Linked DNA regions of Notamacropus eugenii. The main gene of each other region encodes a partner of the protein of the gene in region 2 in a complex. Links are inferred from orthologs where the notes say so. Each region holds a gene or a part of one and is shown on either strand. Other genes may lie near its edges. The genes, in order: SNRPF, SNIP1, SNRNP40 and CRIPT.

Region 1 (7,974 bases), on a different chromosome or scaffold from region 2:
TTTTTTGTGATTCATTCCATTGGTTATAATTCTTTACAATATGACTGTGAAAATGTTTCATATGAATGTACGTGTAGAACCTATATCAGATTGCACACTGTCATGGGGAGAGGAAATGGGAGAGGAGGGAGAAAAAATTTAAAACTCAAAAGTTGTGGAATTGAATGTTTAAAAATAAAAATAAAAAAAGATTTATGTCAATATAAAAAAATCAGCCAGCCTTTCCTAATTCCCCTAGGTGTTAGTATTCTCTCTCCCTAATCAAACTGTTGTACATTCAACAGTCAGCTTCTGAGTTTTATTTTGTCTTTGTATGCTCAAGGTCTAGCAATCCCTAACAAAGAGGAGGCACTTGATAATTGTTGACCTGAATTAACTGAATATGGAGTAGTGAAGATTCTTGGATTTGTAGTCATAATATCTAAGTGCAAATCTTGGCTTTCCCATTTATTACCTGTATGAACCTGGGCAAGACAATTCCTTTCCCTGGGCCTGTTTCCTCAACTGTAAAATCAATTGATAAGAATTCTAGTGTTAACTGTGTCAAGCACTGGGGGTACAAACTAAGGTGGAAAAAAAAATCTCTGTATATTTTGAATGGTGGGGGAGGAACAACATCCATATAAAACATGTATATATATATATATATATATATATAAGTTATAGAGTAAATGAAGGGTAATCTTAGATGGGTAAGGGGGAGATGGTAAAATCCCCTAGGGATTTTAAGAGATGGAATTAGAGACAGAAAGCATTCAAGGCATGAAGGATAGTTAGTGGATCACACTGAAAACCTTGTTTTGCTTTGCCCCATTCCTACCTTTCCAGTCTTCTTACACCTTACTCCTTTCTACAAATTAGATCCCCATGACACTCCACCTGTCTCAAGCAATTCCACTGTTTGCTCCCACCTGCTCCCCCCCTCCCCATGCCTGGAATTCATCCTACCTTCTTCTCCAACTCTTGGCTTCCCCAACTTCCTTCAATTCCCTGCTAAAATCCCACCTATTTTCAAGAAACCTTTCCCTATCCTCCTTAATACTAGTGTCTTCTCTCTGTTGATGATATCCAACGTATTCCACATCCATCTTTGTACAGTTGTTTTTATGTTGTCTGCCCTACTAGGCTGTCAGATCCTTGATAAGAGGAACTGCTTTTTGCCTAGCCCAAGCACCTGCCACATAGCATGTGCTTAAGGAATGCCTGCTCTGCTGACTCCATCTATCAAGTATCATTGTACAGCATACGGACTGAAGTAAAAGAGTTAGGGGCGGTCAGACTACTAAGAGCCTAAAACGCCACAGATTATACAGAATATTCCAAATGTCTGTTTTGCAGTTTTAAGCTATCAAAGCTTAAGTTTTAATTTCAAGGAGATCCGCTCCTGGATGTAATAGGGAGCTTAAGGAAGGGTTAAGTGGTGAGGTAGGATGACAAGCTAGGCCTCACCCAGCCTCAGACGCTTACTACGCAAGTCACTTAACCTGTTTGCCTCAATTTTCTCCTCTGTAAAACGGGGAAAATAATGTTTTGGAGGGTTGTTGTGAGAATTCACTAATTTGGGTTTACAATTCAATAAATTATATTTCAACATAATCAAGCCAAATAATATTCCCAACATACTATCCGACATAGATATACTGCAATTACGTATTTGGAAACATGACAGCGAAGGGCAGGCTGGTCTAGATTCTCCTCCAAGCTATGCTTCTCCAATCACCGACGAAGGGGCAGCAGGATGGGAGCCTCGATTTACATTCGGCCGTGTCCTCCGGGCCCCAACCTCCCATGTATATACGTGTATATACACACATATACACATGTATACACACATATACACGCATATATACACATATACATACATGTATACACATGTATACACACATACATATATACACATATACACACGTGCATACACATATACATACATATATACACATGTACATACATGTATACACATTGTATACACATATACATACATATATACACATATACACACATGTATACACATATACATACATATACACATGTACATACATGTATACACATTGTATACACATATACATACACATATACACATGTACACACATATACATACATATATACACATGTACATACATGTATACACATTGTATACACACATACATACATATATACACATGTACACATACGCATACACATACATATATACACATGTACATACATATATACACATGTACATACATGTATACACATTGTATACACATATACATACATATATACACATGTACACATACACATACATATACACACATGTACATACATGTATACACAGAGTATACACATATACATACATATATACACATGTACACACATGTATACACATATACATACATATATACACATGTACATACATGTATACACAGTGTATACACATATACATACATATATACACATGTACATACATGTATACGCATTGTATACACATATACATACATATATACGCATGTACACACATGTATACACATATACATACACATATACACATGTACACACATATACATACATATATACACATGTACATACATGTACACACAGTGTATACATATATACATACATATATACGCATGTACACACATATACATACATATATACACATGTACATACATGTACACACAGTGTGCACACATATACATGCATATACACGCATGTACACGCATGTATACACATATACATACATATATACACATGTACATACATGTACACACAGTGTATACACATATACATACATATATACGCATGTACATACATGTACACACAGTGTGCACACATATACATGCATATACACGCATGTACACGCATGTATGCACATATACATACATATATACACATGTACATACATGTACACACAGTGTATACACATATACATACATATATACGCATGTACATACATGTACACACAGTGTATACACATATACATACATATATACGCATGTACATACATGTACACACAGTGTATACACATATACACATATATACGCATGTACACACATGTATACACATATACATACATATATACACATGTACATACATGTACACACAGTGTACACACATATATACGCATGTACACACATGTATACACATATACATATATACACATGTACATACATGTACACACAGTGTATACACATACACATACATATATACGCATGTACACACATGTATACACATATACATACATTATATACACATGTACATACATGTACACACAGTGTGTACACATATACATACATATATATGCATGTACACACATGTATACACATATACATACATGTATACGCATGTACATACATGTACACACAGTGTACACACATATATACGCATGTACGCACATGTATACACATATACATACATATATACACATGTACATACATGTACACACAGTGTATACACATATACATACATATATACGCATGTACACACATGTATACACATATACATACATACACATGTACATACATGTACACACAGTGTGCACACATATACATGCATATACACGCATGTACACGCATGTATACACATATACATACATATATACACATGTACATACATGTACACACAGTGTATACACATATACATACATATATACGCATGTACATACATGTACACACAGTGTATACACATATACATACATATATACGCATGTACACACATATACATACATATATACACATGTACATACATGTACACACAGTGTACACATATATACGCATGTATACACATATACATACATATATACACATGTGCACACATGTATACACATATACATACATATATACACATGTACATACATGTACACACAGTGTATACACATATACACGCATGTACACACATGTATACACATATACATACATATACACACATGTACATACATGTACACACAGTGTACACACATATATACGCATGTACACACATGTATACACATATACATACATATATACACATGTACATACATGTACACACAGTGTACACACATATATACGCATGTACACACATGTATACACATATACATACATTATATACACATGTACATACATGTACACACAGTGTGTACACATATACATACATATATACGCATGTACACACATGTATACACATATACATACATGTATACGCATGTACATACATGTACACACAGTGTACACACATATATACGCATGTACGCACATGTATACACATATACATACATATATACACATGTACATACATGTACACACAGTGTATACACATATACATACATATATACGCATGTACACACATGTATACACATATACATACATACACATGTACATACATGTACACACAGTGTATACACATATACATACATATACACGCATGTACACACATGTATACACATATACATACATGTATACACATGTACATACTTGTATACACATTGTATACACATATACATACATATATACACATATACACACATGTATACACATGTGTAGATATACGTATATATATATATTTGAGATTAGGAAATGAGGCTCCGGGACCCGAGGCGACTTGCCCCGGCCGAGCAGGGCCTTCCCGGCCACGCGTCCCGTGCTCCCGAGGGGCACCCTACAACCTCGCGGAGACGGAAGGAGCGAAGCCAGGCCCCCGGGGGAGGCGAACGAGGCCCCGGGGTCGCGATACCTACAGCCGCCACCCCCCTCCTCCGGGGAGGCCGCTTCTGGCGCACTGTCCCGTCAGCAGAGGCAGCGTCCGGTCAGGATTAGGGAACAAGAACACGCTCAAGGGCAAAGAAATAACTGAGGCACTTTGGGGAAAAAGGTTTTTTAAAATCTCCGACTGTTGGACGCGTGCGGCGCAGGCGCGGGAGGAGTCCGCATGCGCACTGAGCAACCCCGGCACGAGCCTCTCCTGCTCGGCTCCGCCCCGCCCCGCCTCCAAGCCCCACCCACCTGCTTCCGTCCAATCCGAGAGGCCCGGGAGGAGGAGAGCGGGGGAGGAGAGCTATGACAAGGAAGCCGGGGTGAGGGGTGAAAGTTCACCTTCCCGGCTGGCGGCCATTTCCCTGCCTTCCGTACGCTTGCCGGCTAGAGGGAGGCGGAGGTAGGGGCGGCGGTGGCTCGCTTCACGTGGGCGCAGGAGAACCGGCGGCGGCGGACGGCCCGTGGCGCTCTTCGGTGGTGACGATGGTAAGGGGGCGGCGGCAGCGGCGGCGGCAGCGGCGGGAGCCGTGGCGGCCTGGTAGCGGCGTGAAGAGCGTCCGCACGGGTTCTCGCTTCCCGCCTTGCCCATTCATTTGCTGTGGGGGGCGGGAGCGGCCTGGCTCGTCCCTTTCTTCCCTGTCCCCCCCCACCTCCGGTCTCGCGAGAGGAGCGGCTCGCGAGCCTGCTATTTTTCCCTCCTACATTCCCCCTCGACCCCAGTTGGTTTCGCCCGAGTCCTGCGCTTTAAAGCCTCCTGGAAGGGGCCATTTAAAGGGGGGCGGGGGGAAAGGAGGCGGGGCCAGAAGGGAACTTTCCGTGGACTCCTAGAACTTAAGCCAGGGGGAGAGAGCTTGGAGCCGCGGGGCTGCGGCCGTCTGGGCCCACCTCCTCACTTTACAGCCCGGGAAACTGAGGCCTTGGGCAAACTTCCCTGGTCGGATGGGCCAACCCCTTTACAGCCGGGGAAACTGAGGCCCCAGAAACACAGCCCTAGGCACAGGTTGGGATCCAGAAGGGGCCTCAGAGGCCGTCTGTGATACAGGTTCACTGCTGTTATATTTAATAATAATAATCGAAGATCAGGGAATCACTCTGGTCAGCTCCTGGCTCCAATTTGTGCCCCCTTTAAACTCCGAGTTATCCTCTTATAGCTCCTGAGCCTCAGTTTCCCTCACCTGCCAAAAAAAGGCACCTTTTTCCTCTTTTTTCTGTAGTTTGGCCATCTTATTATATTTTATTATAATTATCGTATTTTATATACATAATTATTTTATATACGTATAATGATTATTATATTTTATTATTTCCCTTCCCCCAAAAAAAGTAAACGTATCTGAGTTTTCCTTCACCAGTGGCTTCCAGCAGTGCCTTGTGGTGGGGAGGTGACTGTTGGTTATCATAGTGTAGGAGAAATAGCTTTGGCCTTAGAGATGCAGGGTTCAAGTCCCTGCTCCGTCCCAGTGTTAGCTGGGGGCACTTGGGCCAGCGTTTAAGTGCCAGCTCCAGACCAGGTGCCGGTGCCAAGCACTGGGGATACAAAGAGGCCAAAGACAGTGCTTCCCCTCAAACGTGCCACCTGGGCTTTGATTTCCTCCTTTTAGAAGGAGGAGGGGTGGACTTTACTCTTTCTAAAGCTTCTAACTCCCATTCTGGGGGCTTGGTAGAGAAGGAGGAATCTGGAACTGTTGAATAAACGAATGTGAATTTATCTATTTCATCCCATCTCTGTGAATCAAAAATGAAAGAGGTTAACCATAGCAGGACTCAATAGTTTGGGTACTAGGAAAGGCTGAATGTAATATAGGGTGATTTAGGAAAGTACGAGGAGTGGGCTCTGGGCTTCTCTGTCAAGTAAGAATATTGGACTAAATGAACCCTCATGTTCCTTCCCTTACTTGAGATCCTGTGAAAGCTCCATCTTGACTAATGTCTTGCCTTTATCACCTCATCTCTGTACAGAGTTTACCCCTCAACCCCAAACCATTCCTGAATGGACTGACAGGGAAGCCAGTGATGGTGAAGCTTAAGTGGGGAATGGAGTATAAAGGTTACCTGGTGTCTGTGGATGGCTACATGAACATGCAGGTAAGCTAAACTCGAGTGGGGTGGGCCTCACTTTACTTGCTTTCTGAGACTTGGAGCCTTGTCCAGGATTTCAGTGAAAAGTCATGTCCTTTTAATAATTGATACCTTAATTCCTCTCCTAAGCTTCAGGCTTCGGAGTCTTAATTTACTTGAAGTAAAGAGGGCAACTAGGTGGTGCAGTGGAGTGAAGCCAGGAGCCAGGAAGACCCAAGTTCAAATTCAGTCTCAGACACTTACTAGTTGTGTGACCCTGGGAAAGTCATTTAACCCTATTTGCCTCAAGTTTCCTCATCTGCAAAATGAAGTGGAGGAGGAAATGGCAAACCACTCCAGTATCTTTGCTAAGAAAACCCCAAATGGGGTCATGGAAGAGTCAGACACAACTGAAAGGAATGAACAACCACAATTGAGAGGAGCCAGCTTGTGGTATAACATTTGCCAGGTATGTTGGTAGTAAAGTCACTCTATATGCCCTCTCACTGCCCTTTGGATTGATTACTTAATACTTAGGATTTTCGGTGATCTAAATGGTCCTTGATTCACAATCATTTAGCATTTGTTTTTAAATAGACAAGCAACTAATAATGTTAAAAGACTTTACTTCTTAAGAGGAAAATAAAAGATTATTGTCAGGAAAACTGGAATTCAGAATTTGAATGTATTGTAGAGAATTTAACCGTGCTTTGTGTGCTTTGCAGTTTAAATAAATGTGTTGATGTAATACTGAAGAATGTAACTGGAGATGGACTTATAACCATTTCTTCAGAGTATTATTTTAGTAAAACAATTGAAATTAGCTTTTTAAGAAAGTATGTTTTTCTTAAATGAGATAGAATAAATCTATCTTTGATTAAATTTTCTTTGAGGAAAAATTTATTTTCTGCATTTAAAAATATTTTTTCTGAGAAAAGCCCCATCCATAGGCTTCATCATAAGCTCCCTACCCCCTCCTCGATATCTACATTACATAGTTATCACTTGGTCTCCATCCTTCAGAAGATGAGCCTCTTTGAATTAGGTGAGGCTTGTGCTCCAGCTGCTGTCACAAAGGTCACTTCCACCTCGGTAGGACCTGCCAGCATGTGCATTCTACTCATAACTTTGTAGAGCCATGTCATGAGACATCAGAGTAGGATTTTACTGGTGGGTTTAGAAATAATAAAAAAGCAAATGTTAGGCTGTTTTT
Region 2 (7,108 bases):
TCCCTATCTCAGTATCCCCATATGTAAAAATGAAATGGTTAAAGTTGGATGGTTTTGCAGTCCCTTCCAGTTCTTGTATTCTATGATTCCATCAGGATAACAGCCAGGATAAAAAGATGACACATTAGGCACATGAAGGATCCTGACCTACATGGTGACCCTTGTGTGCTAAGGCTAATGAATCTTAGACTAGTCTCTGGACTCAAGTTCTATGTTAGTAGTAGGATTAAATAATATTTAAGGTCCCTTCCAGCCTGCAATGAGGAATCTATTGGGATCATAGATGGATTATAGAGGACCCTGGTGTGAGGAGACTCAGACCCTTGGGTTCTAGAGCTAAGTGACCTTGGAGAGGAAAAAAAGATCCTAGTATCTTTGGGACTTAGAATTCCTGTGCCTCTCCCCACTCTTCACCCTTCTGTGAGTATAAAGCTGGTTCCTATCTGTTTGTATCATATAGCACTGGTCTCTAGAGTCAAAAGATCTAGGGTTGAAACCAGGCACTCCAACTCACAACCTGGCTCTGTTTCCTCATCTATAAAATATGACAGGGAAGGGGAAGGGGACTAGTGACCTCTAAGGTCCCTCACAGCACCAAGATCCTGGGACCTGGGGGGAGGGGGAGAAGAAGAGACTGTGGGACTCTCTCTAGGACTGTTGGCTGGTCTGACCACAAGGAACCAATATCAATACTTCAAGGGTTAATTATTTCATGAGTGTGGCTATTCCCTTGACATCTTAGTAGAGTTGCTATGACCAAAAATCTCATTGTCTTGCAGCTAAACACAGGATAAGCCTTTGCTAACTTGGCCAAGCCAGTCCATCCCAAGACTTTCCAGCTTGTTGATTATCCCTTGATCTTTTTACCTGGGAGGCAAGATGGAGTTCAGGATCTCTTCAGCCTGCTTGGTGGGGTCTGAGGCAGCAGAAGTAGAAGGGATAGCCTTGCTCTTGGGTGGCTGTGGAACTGGCCCTGTAGCCAATGGCTGCTGTGGGCTGACCTTCAGGGGACGGGCCTAGAAAAGAGGTGACAGAGAAGTTCAGTGAGCTGGTCCTCAGAACTGGCCTTGGGGCAGCCATGGCCCTAGTTCTTTTCCTGTATCCTTTCATTTCCTTCTTCCCACTTTATTTCTCCCTTTCTACCCTCCTATCTTCCTCTGCTATCTCTTCTCATGATATCCCTCTTCTCCTCCTTCCCTCTCCCATGCATCTACCCTCACCTTTTCTTTCCTTCCTCTCTCCTCATCCTACCATCATCTTTTTTCCTTTGTCTATATCCATGTCTGTGGTCCCTCCTTTTGTCCAATTTTCTCCCACCCTCCTTACTTCCTTTTCATTTTTTCCTCTTCCATCCCTCCCACATTCTCTTCCTTCCTCTTTGCTCCTCCCTCCTATAGTACCTTTCCTCTCTTTGCTTCTCCCACTGTCTTTTTTCCTCTTAATCTTCTTCCCTTCCCTCACTCCTCCCAACCACATCTTCCTTTCTCCTTCCCATTCCTCTTCTTGCTTCTCCCATCCTTTCTCTCCTCCTGTTTTACTCTTTCTACTTTCACCTCCTTTTCACTCCTCCCATTATTTCTTTCACTCTCCCTCTCCTCTCTCCTTCCACTTTCATCTTCCTCTTTCTTTCCCTGTTCCCTTCCACACTCTCATCACTTCTCCTCCCGCCCTCCCTCCCTGCAGTCCCCATTTCCAGGCCCTGGATTCTACCTTGGGGCTCCGCTTCTCTGTGTTCCGGCTCACTAACACCGGGGTATCATACTTGAGCAGAGAATCAACTGGAGGAATCATGGTGGCTGCTGCAGCAGTGGCTCCGCAGCCTTGTTTACTGTCACCATGGAAACCGAGGCCCCACCCCCTGTCCCTACCACTCGAGCCCAGCAGCTTGAACCTAGTGGTGGAGGCGGAGCTAGCAGTGGGGCGTGGCCATCGGAGAGCTGTGGGATTGGCTGGCGCCCCACCAGCTCTAAGGTCTTAGCTCAGGTCTGCTGAAAAGAATGCTGGCCTAGGCCCTCCCCAGGAGCCATCAGATGGAACTTCATTTCTGTCACTTGGTTAGCTGTGTGGCCGTGGGCAGGTGATTCTGGGGCACAGAGGATGCTTCTAAGAAAAGTACCCTGTAGAATTTACGAGTGCTATAGAAGTGAGAGCTCTCAATTACCACAGTCTCCTTTACGTTATTCGGCAGGCATTCTTAACTCTGGGTCTGTGAACTTGTTTATTGAACATTTTGATAACTGCATTTCAGTATAATTGCTTTTCTTTATACGCCTGTGTGTTTCATTTCAGGTGGCTGGTGGTACGATGCATAGAGTTAGAAAGACTTGAGTTCCAATCCGTCTCTGACGCTTACTGGCTGTGTGATCTTGGACAAGCCATGTGACTTGTCTGGCCTCAGTTTCTTCATCTGTAAAATGGGGATATTAATTACCTCCCAGGATGGTGGTGAAGAGCAAATGAGATACTTGTAAAACAAATTTGTTAACCTTAAAATGCCATATAAATGCACTATTAATACTTTAAAACATAGACTTTACTTTGTTAAAGGAGTCCTACACACACACACACACACAAATTAAGAACCTCTCTAAGTATCTTCTCCTGTCCTGTTGGAGGCCAAGGCAGGGGACAGAGACCTGGGTTTGAAATTTGCCTAAGACACTTGCTGGTCCACCCTGGACAAGTCACTTCTTATTCATTTACAAATGAAAACTGGTTTTTTTTTCTGTTGCTCTTTTGGAGTTTAATTTGACATGAAATTTCATTTATTTCACATACACACACACACATAAAACCATATATTCCAATGGTTCAGACAGACAACCCTTCCGCAACTTCTGCAGACTTCGAGAGCTGCCTGGGGCACTGAGAGGACTTGCCCAGCGTCCTACCTCCGTTATGTGTGACATTCCATCTTCCCGACCCAAACAAAGGCTGGCCCTTTATTCCACCTGGCTGCTTCTCCCCTTATGACCACCAGAGCTCTTCATCTTCCTTCAGCACTGAACTTCGCAGGACTCAGCCCCCAGTCAGCGCTTAATAAGTGCTCGGGCAATAAAGGAACGAGTCCGGGGCCACGCCTCACCCACGGGAGCCTGTGCCCTCCCTCCATGCCTTCCCCCTGCAGCCTGCTTCTCGTTTACCACTGACAGAAGCGCTGCCATTTCTTGTCATTTGTGGTGCAGCCAAAGTTCCCACGGAGAGACCCTCGGGTGGATTTCTCTGATGTCATGGTCTTCTTCCAAAACGAAGGACGAACCCTGACAGGGTGGATGCTGGCAAGTGAAGACAAAGGTCCCTCCGGGGAGAGAAGGGAGCTTTACCCTGGACGTCCTAGGAAGCAGGCACGGCTTGTTTCGCGGCTCCAGGCAGGACAGTCTAAAAGACCGGAGGTCAGAGGACTGACCGCCCCTGAGGGTGCGAGGCCCCGGTCACGGGTGGGACTCCGTGGTGCCCAAGCCTCCTTCCTCCCTCCTCTCCTCTCTCCTCCCTGGTGTTCACTGAGCACCAGTAGCAGAAGCAGGCCCCGGTGCACACCGGCCTAAAGAAAGGCAAATAAAAGCCTTGGTCCTCTGAGCGCGCTCTGTAGGGGGCAGACCCCGACCCTGCTCGCTCCCTGTCTCCTCGGCCTCTATTCTGACGCCGTCGCCTCCCTTTCCCCAGCAATACGGGGGCGCCACTCTGAACAAGGGCACGTGGGTTCGAATCCTGACTCCTCCGCTCGGAGCCGCGCGACCGTGAGCTGTGACCCGGAATCCGTCCTCCGACCTTACGGGCCGTCACCTTTGCCAGCCCGTTTCCTCCTGTGGAACGTGGGGCGGTGACAGCGCCCGCCTGGGGAGGGTCCGACGAGGGTCTTTGGGGGGTCCGCATCAATCGCGGCTGTTGCAGCCCCGGGGAGAGGTCGAGTGGGCGTGGTGAGGGAGAGGAGGGGGCGGGGACAGGCCAACGGAACTTTTTGTTGGATGGGTGGTTGTTTTGGGGGTGAGGCTTCCCCAGACTTCTCTCGCCTCTTTCGAGAGCGCGATTTTCAGCAGCGCCCGCCAGGGGGTGCGATCACAACGTGACCGCCAGCGGCCCGACTTCCGTTTGGCTGCCGGAAGAAGAATCGAAGCTGCCCCGGAAACGGAAGCGCGGGGTACGCGCTCGGGCCGTCGCTGAGGAGCCCACTGGCCCGGGCCGCGAGGATGAAGGAGGCGAAGCCCGAGCGGGAGCGGAGGCAGCGGAGGCGGCGCCGGCGGCGGCCGGAGGCCGAGGACGAGCCGGCGGCAGCGGCGGGGGACGACGTGCTGGTGCCGGATCTGTCGCTGGTGAAGCAGGAGCGGCGCAGCCCGACCCCCGCGTCCCGCTCGCACCGGCCACGGGCCCGGGCCCGGCGCGGCTCCTCGGGAAGTCCGAGCCCGGCGCCGGACGAGGAGGCGCCGCTGCCGCCCCCGGCCCCGCGAGCCCGCGGCGCTCGTGCCTCCGGCGACCGCGCCGGCAGCTGCAGCAGGTACGAGCCCAGCGCCCCGTCCCCCGGAGGGACGCTGGGTGGTGGCGGCGGTGCCTCCCGCCGCGGGGGTGGGGGTGGGGGATAGGGCCCAGCCCCCTGCTGACTCTGCTTCGTGATCCCCAGAGGCTCTTCCTCGTCGAGCCCCCAGCCAGTCCTGCCTCTTGTAGCAAGTCTTCCCTTAGCCCCTTTCCCAGCTGCGCACACACTCGGGTCCTTTGTAGGACCCTTCCTGCGCCCCTGCTGCCCGTCTGGTAGCTGTGGTGTTGTAGGGACCTGGGTTCTAATCCTCGCCCCGCCATTTACTAGCCTTGGCTGAGGCGAATTCTTTTTCTGGCTCTCGGTTTTCGCATTTGTAAAATAAAAATCCGAGTGCTTGCATCGGTTCTGTTTTTGTCGCTCAGTTGCGTTGGAAGCTTCGTGACTTCCTTGGCGGAGACGCTGGAGGGGTTTTCCTTTTCCTTCTCCAACTCTGCCGATGAGGACACCACTAGGAAGTGTCCGAGGCCGGAGCTGAACTCCCAGATGAGTCCAACGGGCCTTCTCCCCACTTGGACACCTAGCTGCCACGTTAATTGTTAGAGTTATTTTGTGGGTCAGTGGAGATGACGTTCGTAAAGGACTCTCTGGATGTGAGTGATGACTTATAACTGTTCGCTCCCATTATTTTTTGGTCTCAGAATACAGAACTGGACATTGTTGGATTTAATTCAGCGTTTAGGGTTGTTGTGAGGATAGGAATTCGTAGACTGTACAGTATAACTGTAATCTGCTGTTGTTATTCTTACCTTTACCCCCAAGATTTTATACCACTGGTTTTCATCTTTACAGCCCTTTCACTACTAACCTACAGCCTTCACCCCAGTGTTTTGTTAAGATTCTGTGGTTTCCTTGGTATGCGTACCTCTTCTTTTAATACAAGTTGAAGCGTTCCTCCACAATTTAATAGGTGGTTTTTATGAATCGTTGTGGTCAGTCACTTGGCCAGCCTTCTGGTAATGAACCTCTTCAAATTTATCTAGACTGGTCTTCAAGCATCAGACACACAGTCTTATCACCAATGCTGAACTTGAATCCCTTCCAACTAAATACTTTCAGTATAGCCTTCAAAAACTCAGGGCCACGTTCACCCCTGAGGGAAGCATTGGAGATTTCAGTAAAGCAGAGTAATGAGGCTGAGGGGATGGCGTGAGGTAAAGGTTACCAGTAAACTCTTCCTTGAGTTGAGATCTAGTTAAATCCTGAAGGGACCATTCATTTCAGTTAAGTGAAGATGAAGCTATAAAGAAATAAGACACGGTACATGAGGGGATCAGGTTGATAGTGATGAGGGAGGGTCTTAATGAAGAGGTGGCATCTGAGTTGGACCTTGAAGGAAAGAGAGGAAGTTGCAGACAAGTCATAGTCCAGGTATTTAGTCTAACTTAATTTTATAGATGAGGAAATTGAGAGTTCAAGGACTTGCTAATTGCAAAGTATCTTCTGCACCATGAAATCATAGGGGTTTGAGAATTAATTTCATTGCCCTATGTGATTGCTATCTTGCCTCTATCCCACCATTTTTTTGGAGAAGCAGTGTAATATAGTGGGAAAAGCACTGAGTTTAGGATAAGAATATCTTTGTTCAGAGTCCTGGCTCCAGCATTCTGTGACTCTTCTAGGCCGGACCAGCATTGTCTAAGCCCTTTTGAGCTTCAGTTTTATCTGCCAAGTGGGGATAATCATACTATTTGGTTCATGGGGCTGCCACAGAGACAATTTTATAAAATGTATACTGCTGTAGAAATGTGAATTATTCTGATCATACACTAAATGGCAGATCTAAGACAATAATTTGGATCTCCTAATCTGAAGACAGCTTTTGCTACCGTGTGTAGACCTTTTTTCCTTGTGTCCATTTACCAATGCTTGCAAAGTTTTAGTCTTCAACAAACCTATGATAACTCATAGCAGATTAGGCAGGAGATGTCAAAAACTTTTTTCTTTGTGTGAGGGAAATTGGGGTAGAGGTTCAAAGCTTATCCACCAATTCCTATGTGTGTTGTGTTTTCTAAAGATCACCAACCAAAAGGAAAAACAAGTCCTTTGGGAGAAGAAGCAGATCTCCTCGGAGTAAGAGAAGCCGTAGCCCTCACCATTCTGTAGTCAAGGTGAAGCAGGTAATTGCAATTGACACAACTCATTCCCCTAAGTTCTGATCTAAGAATTTCTTCCTACTAGTGTTAGAATATGGACTTTCTTCTTCAATTGGGAAGTGAGCCCCAAGGTTACAGCATTACTTTTATGGACAGAAAAGGGCAGGATATAGACTGGTTTTCACTAAAAGAACTAGTTACTTGAAGAGCTTAGAACATAAATACATATACTATCATCTTTAAGGTTCAGAGCAAGAGTTGGGAGACCCTGGCCATTGCTTGTATTCCATGGCAGGTATTCCATGATGTGCTGTTGGTTCTACTTCTTGGAGAATAAATTATCTTTGGGCAGCTGGTTGTATCTTTCCCTGAGTGGAGCCACTGTCTACATGCTGTAACTCTCTGTCATCTAATTCTTAAATGCACCTCTCATTTCATGAACAGCTTATTACTGTTAGTCTTTGAGGCTTTCAGAAGGTAACTT
Region 3 (6,865 bases), about 9.0 Mb from region 2:
GAGCACCAGTGCAGGAGTCAGGAGGACATGAGTTCAAATCTCACCTCACACACTTGACACTTAGAAGCTGTGTGACATTGGGCAAGTCACCTAACCCCAACTGCCTCATCCTGGGTCATCTCCAGTCATTCTGATGAATATCTGGTCACTGAATTCAGATGGCTCAGGAGGAGAAGTAAGGCTGGTGACCTGCACAGCCCTCCCTCCCTCAAAACAAAGTCAAGTGCAAGTCATGTCATTATTTCTCTGATGGTATGGTCTTCTTCGACAGTGAAGGACGAACACACATTTGTCCCACATAGTAAATGTGAGGACCCAATGATAAAATGGACAGAAAAAGTTCTTTGGAAACTTTCCAGCATAATATCAATGTTCTCCTCCCCACCCCCAGCTCATACAAGGCTGAGCACAGAACAAACTCATGAGAGTAAGGCTTCAACACTTTAAGGAGTGGTGGTTTTTACAACTCCTATGTGAATTAGCTACCTTTGATGAATTGCTCTACCTTAAAAAGATCATCACCTAGAGGCCAGCCTCCTCTTAATGAGCTGCTAAAGTACACAGTACACCCACAGTGAAAATCTGAAGCCTCCCCAGCTTGCTATACCCTGGGTCAGAACTTTGGCCATGTTGCTGGTGTTAGAACCTCAGAATTACAAGGAAACACCAGAAGAAGACGGAGTGCAATAACAATTACTCTTGTACAACTCTACAATTTATGCAGCTCTTTACAGCTTGAGAGGCAGAGTAGTCAGTGTGTGTCCTTACTAGCTGTCTGACCCTGGGGATGCCATTCACCTCTGTCTGCCTCACCTTCCTCACCTGTAAAGTGAGTACCCAAAATAGTGATCTTACAGAGTTGTTGTGACTAAAGTGTCACAGAAACATGATTTTCTGCTTTGATAAAAGTACCTTCCTATGAGAGGCAGCTTTAATGAGCTAAACCAGAAGTGGGGAATCACCCAAGTTCAAATTCCACCTTGAACATTTATTAGCTATGTGACATGGCACACTGGGGAAAAAAAATAGCCTCAGGAGTCAAAAGCACTGGATTCAAATTCCAGCTACAAAATGACTACGTGACATTGGACAAATCACTTGACTTCTCTGAGACTCAATTTTCCTCATCTGTAAAAAGAAAGTCTTGGACTTAAAGCCATTTTAAGGTAAGGCCTAAATCTATACTAGCATAAATGCATACATATAACCTATACACATGGTAAACAGGCAAGAGACGGAAGGCACTAGGGATTGGCGAAGGCTCCCTGTTCACAGTTGGATTTTACCCAGGACTTGAAGGAAGATGGGGATGCCAGGGGGCAAAGGTGAGGAGAGAAAGCAATCCAGATATGGTAGATGGCCAGAAAAATCAATCAATTAATGAGTAAATATTTATTAAGTGCCTACTATGTGCCAGGTAGTATGCTAAGCATTAGGGATACCAGAAAACGCAAAAGACAGTCTCTGCCTACTATCAGTGGAGTTTCCATATGGAGAGACACCCACACCAATAGAATCACAGGGCAGCTGCAAAAGCCTTGTCTCAATTGTCAGAGTTCTCTTATTTTACTATAGGGGGAGCAGGGTACAAGATGTACATAGATCAATAAATATAGAGTAATTGGGAACTGGGAAGATTGGGGAAGATCTCATGGAGGAGGTGATTCCTGAGCTGGACCTTGAAGGAATCTAAGGTTACTGAGAGGCAAAGATAGAGAGGAAGGGTATTCATTCTAGGGGAGCAGGATAGTTTGTACAAAGGGGGCAGAGGGCAGGGATGGAAGGGCACATTGGGAAACTTCCAGGAGTCCAGTTTGGTTGCAGGGGGAGAGGGGAAGAAACTGCAAGAAGAAACTTGAGGCTGCATGTGGCCCTCTAGGTCCTCAAGTGCGGCCCTTTGACTGCCAAACTTGACAGAACTAATCTCATTAATAAAAGGATTTGTTCAGTAAAACCTGGACTCAGCCAAAAGGTGGCACCAGAGGACCTAGAAGTCGATGTGGTCTCGAGGCCCACAGGTTCCCCACCCCTGAGTTAGAACATAAATTTCCAGAATGAGGGGAAAGGGAGCATAATTGTATATAGTTGTTTGCATGCTGTCTCCTCATTTGGATTGTTTTGCAGCAATTTGGATTTCTTAAGGGCAGGGACTGTCTTTTGCATCTTCTTGTATCTCTAGTGCTTAGCATAGTACCTGGAACATAGTAGGTGCTTAATAAATGTTTACCGATTGACTGATTTCTCTAGCTGCCTACCATGTCTGGAATGCTTTCTCTCTCCTCATCTCTCTTCTGGCTTCCCCTTCTTCCTTCAAGTCCCGGGTAAAATCCAGCTGTGTACAGGAAGTCTTCCCCAATCCCTAATGCCTTTCCATCTCTTGATTATTTTTTATTTATTTTGCATATTAGGTTATTTGTATATATTTACTTGAAGGTTGTCTCCCTCATTAGATTGTGAGCTCATGAGGGCAGCGATTTTCTTTTGCCTTTTTCTGAATTCACAATGATTAGCCCAGTGCCTGGTATATAGTAGATACTTAATAAATGCTTATCAAATGAATGACTGTCTGCCCCCCAAAAAACCAAATGTATTGAAATAAAAGTTGCCAGACTATTAAAAACAAAAAACAAGTTCATGGAATAGAGGGATGAATTGGGGTGGGTTGAGAGGTGAAGCAGGCAGACCTTCCAGCCCCTATTGCAATAGTCCAGGGATATGGCAGTGATAGGGGCCAGAAGGGGCATATCCCACATATGCTGCAAAGATGGGAGGGGTAAGAGTTAGTGAGCAGTTCAGGATGATTGTTAGGACGGTGCTGTCTTCCTCTACAGTAAAAGAGGGATGGTGTGTGAAGGGAGGGAGCTTTAGGGAGAAGACAACGAGTTCAATCTACTCACTAGTTGTGTGACTCTCGACTTGACCTCTGTCTACCTCAGTTTCCTCAACTGTCAAATTCCCCTGCACAGCTGTGAAGACCCAATGAAATAACACTTGTAACGGGCATGGCACAGTGCCTGGCGCTCAATAAATACTTCCTTCTTTCCTCCCTTTCTTCCTTTATAAGTTTGCGTATTTTCTTTTGTGCATTTAAGAAGACGATTCAGCGGAGTCCCCAGACTGACTGTCAAAGTGGTCCAGCACACAAACAAGGTCCGGAATCCTTCCATTCGAGAGGCAATAGGGCTGGACGATTATTTTAGAGTGTGACAGGCGTACTCGGGGTCCAACCTGTGCTCTGGAAATGTCACTTTTGCAGCTGGGTGGAGGATGGACTGGGGGGGGGGGGGGTCTTGGGACAGAGCAACTGTAATATAGGAGAGGGAGCCCGGGGTTCTGTCCACTGAACCTCGCAGGTATCCTCTTCTCCAAAGCAGGAGAATGGAAGCTCCTCACTGACAGGGACTGGAATTCTCAGAGCCCGGCACACAGCAGGCGCTTAATAAATGCTTGTTGCCTGACTGTGGTCCTCAACAGAGAGCATCACAAGTCTCCTACGGCGGGGAAGATGGCAAGCCAGTCTAATCAGAGAGGGCAAACACAGAGTCCTGGGCTCGAGATCCCCGCCCGCCCGCCAGCCCACAGGCCCGGAGAGGCCCCCAAGACGGCCCACCACACTCACTCACTCAGCAGCCTCCAAGGTACAGGATCTAAGAGGATGCCGCCATGAAGCGCTCGGAGCGCAGCCAATCGTAGGCCTCCGTTCCCCACAGCCAATCCGTTAGCCACCGCCCATCAGCCACCGCGCGTTCAGGAAACCTTCCCACCGAACGCAATGACCAATCGGAGACTGATTCTCGCGGTGACAGCCCGTCTTCTGACCCAATAAGAAGAAGCAAGGAAAGTTAACAAAAGAGTCTGCACAGGAAGTTTGTTCGTGTCCCTCCCTCACACATAGCAGCCAATCACAGTCCTATATTTTTCTTGAAGGCCTCGCCCTCTATCCAATAAGAAGGGATGAGAAGGAATGAATTACTCTACCCTTGCTCTAGAACACACACAGGAAATTGATTGGTCCGGCCTAGGACGGAAGTTCCTGGGTGGGCGGGGACAATCTTAGCCAATGGGAGCCGGGCCGTAAACCCCGGCGCGGCCTGTGGACTGAGCAGCGCGGACGGCTTGAGGCGGCCATGATCGAGCAGCACAAGCGGAAGGGTCCGGAGCTGCCGCTCGTTCCCCTCAAGCGGCCCCGTCATGAACTACTGTTGGGAGCGGCGGGGCCGGGGACCGGGGCCGGGCCTGCTGCGGGGCAGCAGCCTCCGCCGGGGGCCCTGCTACAAGCGGTATGTGACCTAGCGAGCTAACGAGTCCTGTCAGCTCCCGTCTCCCCTTCGCCCCCTCGTCTTCCTGCTCCTCCGCTCCCCTCTTCCTCTTCCCTTTCCTTCCCCCTCTCCGTCCCCCTCCTCATCCTTCTCGGACTGTCAGGGACCTCGGAGAGACCTTCAGAGAGCCCAGCCTCCTCACCTTAAAGAGAGGGAGGGAAACTGAGGCTGGGGGAGGTTCTGGACTCAGACTTTTTCTGAGCCCGACCCTCCCTTTACAGATCGTGAACGCGGGTCCCAAAGAGGTCCTAGACCTAGGGTGACGGTCCCGCACCCCCTTCGGGGGACATCTTTCCGAGGCTGCCCATCTCAAACCCTCAGCTCTCAAAGCTGGGACAGTTATCAAAGTTAGGATTTGTGTTGTCGTTGTATTGAGATGAAATTTGTAATATCTTTCCAATTGATTCTGCTTGGGGGTGGGGAGGAACAAGCATTAAAAATCGTTTCTGTGTGATAGCCCCTTCGCTATTTGAAAGCCTCCACTGGCTTCTTCTCTCTTGCTACTAAGGAAAACTGGAAAAAAAATCCCCAAATCGTGCTTCTTGGGTCCGCTGCGATATATGCTACGTGACCTCAGTTGGCCTGCAGTGCTAGGAGACGATCCTTTTATACCTCCCTAAATGACTCACCATCCCACTTTCCCTGGGGGCTCTTCAAAATCTTTTCATCCTTTCTTAAATTTCTCTTGGTATCCCTTCCCCAGTTCTCTCGGCTAAATGGCTTCTTATTTTGCGGAAAAAGCTAAGAGTATTCTCTCTGAGCTCTCTCTTTTCCCCTCCTCGTTTCCTGTCACTCATATCTATCTCTTCCTTCATCCCTGGCTCACGTAGTGAAGTGGCCCTTTTCCTTGCCTCCTCCTGCACCTGTGATCCCATTCTGTCCTGTCTCCTCCAGGTGGTTGCTCCTTCCATCCTTACCTCTCACGATCTTCAACCTCTTTCTCTTTATTGTCTGCTTTCTTGCTGACTGCAAACATGCTCTCCCATCCTCAAAAAACCCTCACTTGATCCTTTCTAGCTGTTCTTCTCTGTCTTTTCTCCTGTTTTGAAAAGGCTGTCTACAATAGGTGCTTCTACTTCTTTCCTCTCACTTTAACTCTCTAGTCTGTTTTCAGAACTCATCACTCAACCGAAACCTCTCTCTCCAATTACTAATGATCTTTCAGTTACCAAATTCAGTGATTGCCTTTTCTCAGTCCTCATCCTTCCTGCCCTCTCTTCAACCCTTGATACTGTCAATCACGCTCTTCTCTTTTGTACTCTCTTCTCTCTTGGTTTTTGGAACAGCACTCTCTCCTACTTCTTTTCTACCTTCTCTCCCAGTTCTCCTCCTCCCTTCTGACTGCTCTATCTCAGTCTCCTTTCCTGCATTCTCTTCCAGGTCATGCTCACTATCTGGGAGTGTCCCATAGGATTTTTGTCTTTGACCTTCTTCACTTTCCCCCTTTACACAGTTCACTTAGTGATCTCATTAGCTTCTGTGGATTTATTTATCATTTCTTTGCTGGCAGTTTTCAGATCTACCTATTCTGCCCTTATCTCTGCTGAGCTCCAACTGTCAGGTCTCTTGTAATATCTCTCACATGTACCCATTTCTCTCCTCTGATATTGCTAATACACTGGTACAGGTCTCCATCATCTCAAGACTGGACTATTGCAATAATCTCCAGATCGGTCTTCCTGTCTCTCCCCACTCCAGTCCATTGCAGCTAAAGTGGTCTTCCTGAAGTGCAGGCCTCACCATAACATCTCCATTTAGTAAACTACAATGGCTCCCTATTATCCTGAGGATTGAATAAAATCCTGTTTCAAATTCAAAGCCTTCATAACCTAGCACTGCATGCCTCTCCGCCCCATTCCCTTTCTAGTTTTCTTATGTTTTGTACAACCCTCCAGTGACACTGGCCTCCTGACTCTTCCTCAAACAAGAACATTTCCTGACCTTGGGCATTTTCACTGCTTGTTCTCCCCATGCCTGGAATGCTCCCCCTCCTGAGCTCTACCTTATGGCTTTAAGTCTCAGCTAGAATCCCAACTTCTACAGAAAGCCTTTCCCAACCTCCCTCAATTCTAGGGCTTTCCTTCTGTTGATTATGTCCTACTTATCCTGTACAAAGCTTGTTTGTAGATAACTTTTTGCTTGTGGTCTCCCTCATTAAAGTGGGATTTCCTTGAAAGCAGGGACTATCTTTTATCTTTGAATCCCCTTCAATTATCACAGTGCCCAGCACCTAGTAGGCACTTAATAAGTGTTTATTGACTGACTGAAAAAGATCTTATAATCATAAATTTTAGCGATTAAAAGGACCTTAGACGCTTTCTGGTCCAGTCCTGTAATTTTTAAAGGGACAAGCTGAGGTCCAGAGTGTGGAATTGTGAGTATGAAGGAACCAGGCCTCAACCCTCAGTACTACCTTGTTGTCTATGGACAAAAGGAGACAGAATTGTGCTGGGTGCTTAATGTTTGTACGACCCTTTTAACTTACGGGCATATGATTTAGAGCTAGGAAGAACCTGAGATATGGCCCAGGCCACCTCTTCAGTTTC
Region 4 (7,747 bases), on a different chromosome or scaffold from region 2:
CCTGCCCACACCCTTCCATTCCACCTCTACAGCTATTCTTGACACCAGAGAGGTCAAACTCAGAATTAAAATCAGATTAAAATGTAGGGAAATGTTTAACATAATACAATACAATATAGAAAATGTGAGTTTGTGATTTTCTATGATAGCCAGGGATCTTTTTCCTTTCTGAGTTTGACATCACTTTTGGCCACTGCCTACTATTATGCCTTTGCTTTGGCTGTTCCTATCTCTGGAATGCTCTTCCTGGATTCAAGGTTACCTTCAGTTCTTAGGGCTTTGGCTTCTAAGGTTAATTTAGAATTATTCTGTCTGTATCTTGTTTTTTATTTACTTGTCTCCCTCATTAGAATGTAAGCTCCTTGAGGGGAGAGGCTGTTTTTATTTTTGCTTCTTTTTGGTATTCTTAATGTTAAGGACAGGGTCTCACACCTAAGTGCTCAATCAATGCTCAATTGAGGGGCAAATTTATTATATTACAAGTCTAGAATTGATACCTGTTTTGTGAAAAATCAAAAAAGGTCCTGTGATAGTAGTAAATATTTATTAAGTGCCTACTATATGCAAGGCACTGAGCACATCCATTTTCATTTTGGTCACGTACCACAGACAAAAGGTGCTTACTTGCAAAGGAACTGATTGAACCATTTTGGAGAGCAATTTGGAACTATGCCCAAAGGGCTATAAAAATGTGTGCACTCTTTGACCCAGCAATACCACTTCTAGGTCTGTATCCCAAAGAGATCATACAAATAGGAAAGGAACCTACATGTACAAAAATATTTACAGCAGCTCTTTTTGTGGTGGCTATGAACTGGAAATTGAGAGGATGCCCATCAATTGAGGAATGACTGAACAAGTTGTGGTATATAGATGTAATGGAATACTATTGTGCTATCAGAAATAATGAACAGGTGGACTTCAGAAAAACCTGGAAAGACTTATAGGAACTGATTCTGAGTGAGGGGAGCAGAACCAGGAGAACATTGTATACAGTTACAGCTACACTGATCAATGACTAACTTTGAAAGACTTGGCTCTTCTCAGCAATGCAAGGTTCTAAGACAACTCCAAAAGGTTCAAGATGGAAAATGCTACCCACATAAAAAGAAGTATGGAGACTGAATGCAGATCGAAACAGTATTTGCTCTTTTTTGTTTTGCTTCTTTCTTGTGGTTCATTTCGTGGCTTATAATTCCTCTTTGCAACATAACTAGTGTGAAAATGTTTTAATGTAATGTATATATACAGCCTATATCAGACTGCACGCCATCGTAGGGAGAGGGGAGAGGAAAAAGAGGGAGAAAATTGGGAACTCAAAAGCTTGTGGAATTGAATGTTTTAAACTAGTAAATAAATTTTTTTAAAAAGAGGTTAAAAAAAAAAGAAATTCATCCACCTGTAGCACTGGCCCCTGCTAGAATCAAAGCTATGCATTGTGGAACCCCTTAAAAATATAATTTCTGCCATTTCTTTTTTACCATGTCTTACCTCGACTAACACTCCAATACTACACTATCTTATTTACACCTCCTGTCAAATACTAAGTGACATTATACGGACTTTCATAGCAAAGCACTAGCCTGGTATCACCTAGAATGATTAATCATACTATTCTGAACCAAGGAACACCAACTTCGAACAAGCATTAATTAAGTACCTACATGGCAAGCACTTTGCTAAGCACTAGGAATACCAAGAAAGACAAAAACTGTCTCTGCCTTCAAGAATCCCAAGGGAGAGACAACAAACACCTAACTATGCACAAAAAATACCTATACGGGATAAACTGAAGATAATCTCAAAGAAAAAGCAACAGCATGAAGAGAGAAAGGCAAAGGCTTCTTGCAGAAAGTAGAACTTTAGTCGAGCCTCAAAGGAAGCCAGAGAATCCAAGGAGGCTCTTAGGGGGGAGAGAATTCTAGCTATGTGCCCATGCACAGAGCCAGAAAGACTGAGAGATAGATTGTCCCTAGATGCCAATCATACTTAGTTTGAGGCTAAAAAAAGCCTCTATTATTATTAAAAAATAATAATAGCTAACATTAATAGTTTGCAGAGCGCTTTACAAATTTTATCTATTCTTCTCCACAATAACTCTAGAAGGGAAATAGTTATCTCCGTTTTAGAGAGGAGAAAACAGGCCCAGGTTTAGTGACGTGCACACAGCTAACAAACGTTGAGCCCAAACGTGAATCCACGTCTTTCAGACTCCAGGTATAGCATTCCATACACTGTGCTACCTAGCTGTCTCCGATCTATTACCGTGGCTCCAGGTAAAGCCAAGCACCTGAAAGGGGACGGCGCAGACGGAGGAGCCAAGCGTCACAGGAAGAGGACTGACTACACGCAGCCAGAGGGCTTTTCGACGGCCGGCTCAGGGACCTTAGACTTAAAACTTCCCATCTTCGGTCCTCGCTCTTCTCGTCTACCGACCAGAGGGGCTGGTCTAGAGACGATCTCTTACGATCCCACAGGAGCCAGGAGAAACCAGGAAAAGTTTCTCACAAATCTCATTCCCCTCGGAAAGAGAACATTCTGCCGAAGGAAACGCGCCCCTCGCGGACCGGGTAGGCGGGCACGTCGCTTTACCTGTCCAGGGCCTCTAGTAAAAGAGGGCTGGAGGAGTGACCTCCAAGGTGAATTCTGGCTCGGGGCCCCTTCGGCGTCCCAGAGGTGGGAGGGCAGCGGAAGCAGTGAGAGGCACACCGGAGGAGAGAAGGGCAGGAAGCGGGGCCACTCCACCGCAGAGCCCGGGGCTCCGAGGAGGGACGTGGGGGGGCGGGGAAGCAGGACCTGCCGGAGCAAGGCCCAAGCGGAGAGGGGCGTGGTGACCCCCAGGCTTCTCCGTTCGATCTTACCTGAGCCTCGGGCCTGAGCAGAAGTGGGTGGGAGGTAAAGCTCCCGCCCTCTCGGCTCTCAGGTGCGACTGGTTGTCTCGCATTACGCGCAGGCGCACACACACGTGCGCACGTGAGTTCTTCCTCACTCAATGGCTGGGAAGCTCCAGCAGCCAATCGGAGAGGGAGAAAGGCCGGAAAGAGGAGACAAGCCCCGCCCTCTTTCCTCCACCAGCGCTCCAGGTGTGGGGGAGGTGAATTAGTAAGGCGGAAAGAAATCCCTTATGACCCGGAAGGAGGTTCCCGGCCGGAGGATTGTTTACATTTAGAAGAATCCCGCGCCTTTGGGAAGGTAGTTAAACCGACTTGATCCCTCTAACAGGATGGTTTGCGAGAAATGTGAGTGAGGGTACCTATCGCTCCGGGGGATGGGGATGGGGGCAGAGGAGAAAGAGGGGACAAAGATGAATGCGCGACCCCTGGCCCAAACTCCCGAGGCTCCCTGTGCTTCTCAGCCTCAGGGGGTCTGGTCCCTGCCCTGACCGCCCTCCCTTCAGCTAGTCCTCTGCCTCTCCTTTCCGACATCGCCAAAGCCTCTCCCGGTGCTTCTCGCCCATTCCCCTCCGTTTCCACCCTGTTCCCCCGCTTGAGGCCCGAGCCGATTGTCGCGTCTCAACAGGCGTCGCGTCTCTACCCTGCTCCCTAAATCCCCCCTGCTGCCCTTATCTTTGGTCACGAGCCTGCTCCCCAGGGCCCACGGCAGCAGGACCGTGTGAGCCCTGCGTGTGTGTATGTGTGTATGTATATGTACACGTTAATCAGTAGGACCCTACATTTGGTCATATCCCCAATATTGCAGAGAAGAAAACTGAGGCCCACATCGTTAATTGGTGCAAGACCCGAAAAGTGATAAGTGATAGAACAGGGATTTAAAGAAAGGTTTTCTGACTTGAAATTCACGGAGGGGGGGGAAGGGTTTCCCCTTCTCCAACTGCATAAAATCAACTGGATCCTCTATCCTCTATCCACATTCATGTTCAGTGAGTGCTATTTCCATCATAGCTTGCAGTCTCTGTAGTCCAGATTTGAACGTTCCTGAGCCCAAAAATATGCCTTTGTCATAACTAAGTTTCACCCACCCAATTCTCTCTGTCAAATCCTGCCTATCTTTCAAGGTCTAGTTTAATTCCACCCAGGTATGTAGGCCCACCATGGTCTTTACATATCTCTAATATCCAAAAGAACAGTATGATTCTAACACTCATTTGATTTTAATCACTCTTTGTAATTAATATGTGTGTGTGTATCGTTTCTTTAAGGAGATTACAAACCCCTTAAGAAGAGGGACTTGGTTTCATTTTTTATCCTCCACGTTATACCCATTGTAGGAAGGTAATCAGTCTCTCCATAAGTACTTGTAAAACATCTTCTATGTGTCAGGCAATCTGCTAAAACGTTGGGAATACAAAGAAGGGCAAAAGACTATCCTTTCTCTCAAGTAGCTCAACAGGTAAAACTGTATATAAACAAGTTATATACAGGATAAAGAGATAATCAACAGGCAGCTAGCATTCATCAGCCTTCAAGGGATCAGGAAAGGCTGGAATTTTAGGTGGATTTTTAGCCAGGACTTGGAAAGAAGCCAGAAGTCAGAAATGAGGAGGGAGAGCTTGGAGGATAGCCACTGAAAATGCACAGTCTGGAGACGGAGTGTCTTGTATGAGGAAGTGCCTGGAGGCCAGTGTCACTGAATCACAGAGTAGAGGGTGAATAAGTCAGAAGACTGAAAAGGTAGGAAGGGGCCATTTTGTGAAGAGCTTTGAATACTAAAGTATTTTATATTTGACCCTGGAGGTCATAGAAACTACTGGGGTTTATTGAATGGTAGATGAAATGGTCAGACCTGCCTTTTAGACAGATAATTTTTCAGCTGAATGGAGAATGAACTGGAGTGTGAAGAAACCAGTGGGCTATTATAGTACTCCAGGTATGAGAACCTGCGTCAGGGTGGTGGCAGTGTCAGAGAAAAGAAGAAAATATGTTTGAGCAATGTTACAAAGATGAAATCAATTGTACTTGGCAACAGATTGGGTATTGGGGGAGAGTGGAAGTGAGGAGCTTAGGACTACATCTAGGTTTGTGAGCCTGGGGAACTGAGAAGTGCCATTAATAGTAATAGGAATTAATGTAATTAATTATTTTTTAATAGTAATAGGAAAATTAGAAAGAGGGAAAGATGAATTCAGTTTTGGACATGTTCAGTTTAAGATATCTATAAGACATCCGCTTTGAGATGTCTAATAAGCAGTTGGAGATTCTAAAGTCTAAAGCATTTGGAGGTCAGGAGAGAAGTTAGTGCTGGGAAAGTAGATCTGAGAATCATTAGCATAGAAATGACGGTAATTGTATCCGGGAGATTGAGTAAGATCACCAGGTGAAAAATAGGATAGGGGAATAAGAGAAGAGGGTCCAGGACAGAGCCCAAGACAACCCATTACATTTTTGGCTATCTCCAATTTTGGGATTTTATTTTTTCCTTCCATGGAATCCAAATTTGCTTTGTTCATCAGCGTCTGAGCAGAAACTAAGGCAGCAGATAATGGGAATGATCCAAGGCCAAAGCTAACAGGCCATGATCAGCAGCGTGATCAGAGCCAGGGACTCAGTTGAAGTGGACAGTGTAGAGTTGAACTGGTTCACCAAGAGGTCACGATGAGAAAGAAAGGAGAATGCAGCTAGTGCAGGAGTGGTGGCCAGGGAAAGAACTGAAGGCTTAAGGAATTGGAGGTCACAATTTGGATGAAGAACAGGATAGAGAGAGAGGGAGAATGACAGTAGATTGTGATCAGATAAGGAAATTTCAAGAGGTCGTTACCATGGAGGTAATACATTGTCGGTGAAGGCAAGGGCAAGGTTATGGCTTCTTTGTGTATGGCTGAGGTGGGGTGGTGGAATAGGTCATATAAAATGAGTAAATTAAATGAGTTGGGTTTATTTTTCAGATCTGTGCGTAAGAGAGGTAATATTTTATTTTTTTCCAATTCCATTTAAAGATAGTTTGCAACATTCATTTTTTTAATAAGATTTTAAGTTCCAGATTTTTCCCCTCTCTCCCCATGACAGTAAACAATCTGGTATGGGTTATACATTGTACAATCATGCTAAACATATTTCCATATTAGACATGTTGTAAAAGAAGAATCCATACAAAAGGGGAAAACCGCAAGAAAGAAAAACAAAAATAAGTGAAAATAGTAAATGCTTCAATCTGCATTCAGACTCCATAGTTCTTTCTCTGGATATAGATAACATTTTCCTTCATCAATCTTTTGGAATTGTCTTGGATCATTGTATTGATGAGAAGAGCTAAGCTAGTCATAGTTGATCATCACACAATGTTGCTGTTACTGTATGCAATGTTCTCCTGGCTCTGCTCACTTGACTTAGCATCAGTTTATGTAAGTCTTTCCAGGTTTTTGTGAAATCTGTTTTCTCATCATTTCTTATAGCACAATCCATTACATTCATAGTCAGCCAATTGATGGACATCTCCTCAATTTCTAATTCTTTGTAACCACAAAAAGAGCTGCAATAAATATTTTTGTAAATGTAAGTCCTTTTCCCTTTTTTATGATCTCTTTAGGATATAGATCTCATAGTGGTAATTGCTTTATCAAAGGGTATTCACAGTTTTATAGCCCTTTGGGCATAGAGGAACTGTGAATTTAAGGTGTTTAAGAGAGTATCAGTGTGTATGTTGAAGTCCTAGTATGAGGGAAAGAGTTGGGGAGGAGAGAACAATTGTGATCTTATTGTGAACTCATTGAGGAAAGAGGGGGAGTGTACTGGAGGCAGAAAGTTAACAGCTATTCAGCAATACCACTTCTAGGTCTGTATTCCAAAGATATCGTGAAAATAAGAAAAGGACCCTCATATACAAAAATATTTATAGCAGCTCCTTTTATGGTGGCAAAGAGTTGGAAACTGAGAGAAATGCCCATCAGTTGGGGAATGGCTGAACAAGTTGTGGTATATGAATGTAATGGAATACTGTTGTGCTGTAAGAAGAGATGAGCAGGCAGACTTCAGAATCCACATTGCGGCTTTCACAGACTTAGCTCTTCTCACCAATGCAAGGATCTAAGACAGCTTCATAAGACTCATGATGGAAAATGCTGCTCATATCTAAAGAAAGAACTATGGAGTACAAATGCAGATTGAAACATACTGTCTGCTCTTTTTTGTTGTTGTTTTGTTTGGCTTCTTTCTTGTGTTTCTCCCATTGGTTCTAATTCTTCTTTACGATATGACTAATGTGAAATTTTCACTAATATGAAAATAGGTTTAATATGAATGTATATAAAGATTGCATGCCATCTTGGAGAGTGAGGAGGGAGGGAAGGGGAGAAAATTTAAAACTCAGAATTTTATGGAAGTAAATATTGAAAAATAAAAATAAAAATTTTTTTGAAGTTAAAAAAAGAAGGATAACAGCTACTAGAATTTTTATTGGGTGGTGGAAAGGGATTCAGTGAATGTTAAAGGAAGAGAGACTACTGCATAGTGATGGTAGCAGGAAAACTTGAAATTGGCACTCTGAAGCAAGGAATATTCAACTTCCCCATCTCAGTGTGGGGAGGGGGAAAGAGGGGGGGAAATGGAGGAAATGGGTGAAAGTGGAAAGGTAGGCTGTAGTCAGAGGGATCCAGTTCTCAATAAGAGCCAGAACATGGAAGAAGTGGGAAAGACAAAGATTTAAGATGAAAGCAGGTTTGTTACCTATGGAGCAGGCATTCCAGACAACACAATGGAAGGGGTAGGTAGCATTAGAGTGAGACACTGGGGGCTTTTCGTGGAGGAGAATAGTACTAATTTATCAGTACCAGATGCAGAATAGCATTGGAATG

What was found.
Region 1: SNIP1 (region 2) and SNRPF share a complex: the UniProt entries of both Homo sapiens proteins name them as parts of the minor spliceosome. The link is inferred for Notamacropus eugenii from reciprocal best matches to the Homo sapiens genes SNIP1 and SNRPF.
Region 3: SNIP1 (region 2) and SNRNP40 share a complex: the UniProt entries of both Homo sapiens proteins name them as parts of the minor spliceosome. The link is inferred for Notamacropus eugenii from reciprocal best matches to the Homo sapiens genes SNIP1 and SNRNP40.
Region 4: SNIP1 (region 2) and CRIPT share a complex: the UniProt entries of both Homo sapiens proteins name them as parts of the minor spliceosome. The link is inferred for Notamacropus eugenii from reciprocal best matches to the Homo sapiens genes SNIP1 and CRIPT.

The regions. Positions count from the first base shown.
Region 1 is NC_092874.1:278,476,785-278,484,758, forward strand, and holds the start of SNRPF (small nuclear ribonucleoprotein F), read left to right. Parts: upstream 1-4,969; 5' UTR 4,970-5,186; coding exon 5,187-5,189; intron 5,190-6,662; coding exon 6,663-6,788; intron 6,789-7,974. UniProt on the Homo sapiens protein: Plays a role in pre-mRNA splicing as a core component of the spliceosomal U1, U2, U4 and U5 small nuclear ribonucleoproteins (snRNPs), the building blocks of the spliceosome.
Region 2 is NC_092876.1:81,740,943-81,748,050, forward strand, and holds the start of SNIP1 (smad nuclear-interacting protein 1), read left to right. Parts: upstream 1-4,106; 5' UTR 4,107-4,187; coding exon 4,188-4,492; intron 4,493-6,545; coding exon 6,546-6,648; intron 6,649-7,108. Other genes in the region: DNALI1 (axonemal dynein light intermediate polypeptide 1), read right to left, coding at 868-1,016, 1,711-1,791. UniProt on the Homo sapiens protein: Required for pre-mRNA splicing as component of the spliceosome. As a component of the minor spliceosome, involved in the splicing of U12-type introns in pre-mRNAs. Down-regulates NF-kappa-B signaling by competing with RELA for CREBBP/EP300 binding.
Region 3 is NC_092876.1:72,718,424-72,725,288, reverse strand, and holds the start of SNRNP40 (U5 small nuclear ribonucleoprotein 40 kDa protein), read left to right. Parts: upstream 1-3,852; 5' UTR 3,853-4,127; coding exon 4,128-4,280; intron 4,281-6,865. UniProt on the Homo sapiens protein: Required for pre-mRNA splicing as component of the activated spliceosome. Component of the U5 small nuclear ribonucleoprotein (snRNP) complex and the U4/U6-U5 tri-snRNP complex, building blocks of the spliceosome.
Region 4 is NC_092872.1:662,290,707-662,298,453, reverse strand, and holds the start of CRIPT (cysteine-rich PDZ-binding protein), read left to right. Parts: upstream 1-4,728; 5' UTR 4,729-4,781; coding exon 4,782-4,827; intron 4,828-7,747. UniProt on the Homo sapiens protein: As a component of the minor spliceosome, involved in the splicing of U12-type introns in pre-mRNAs. Involved in the cytoskeletal anchoring of DLG4 in excitatory synapses.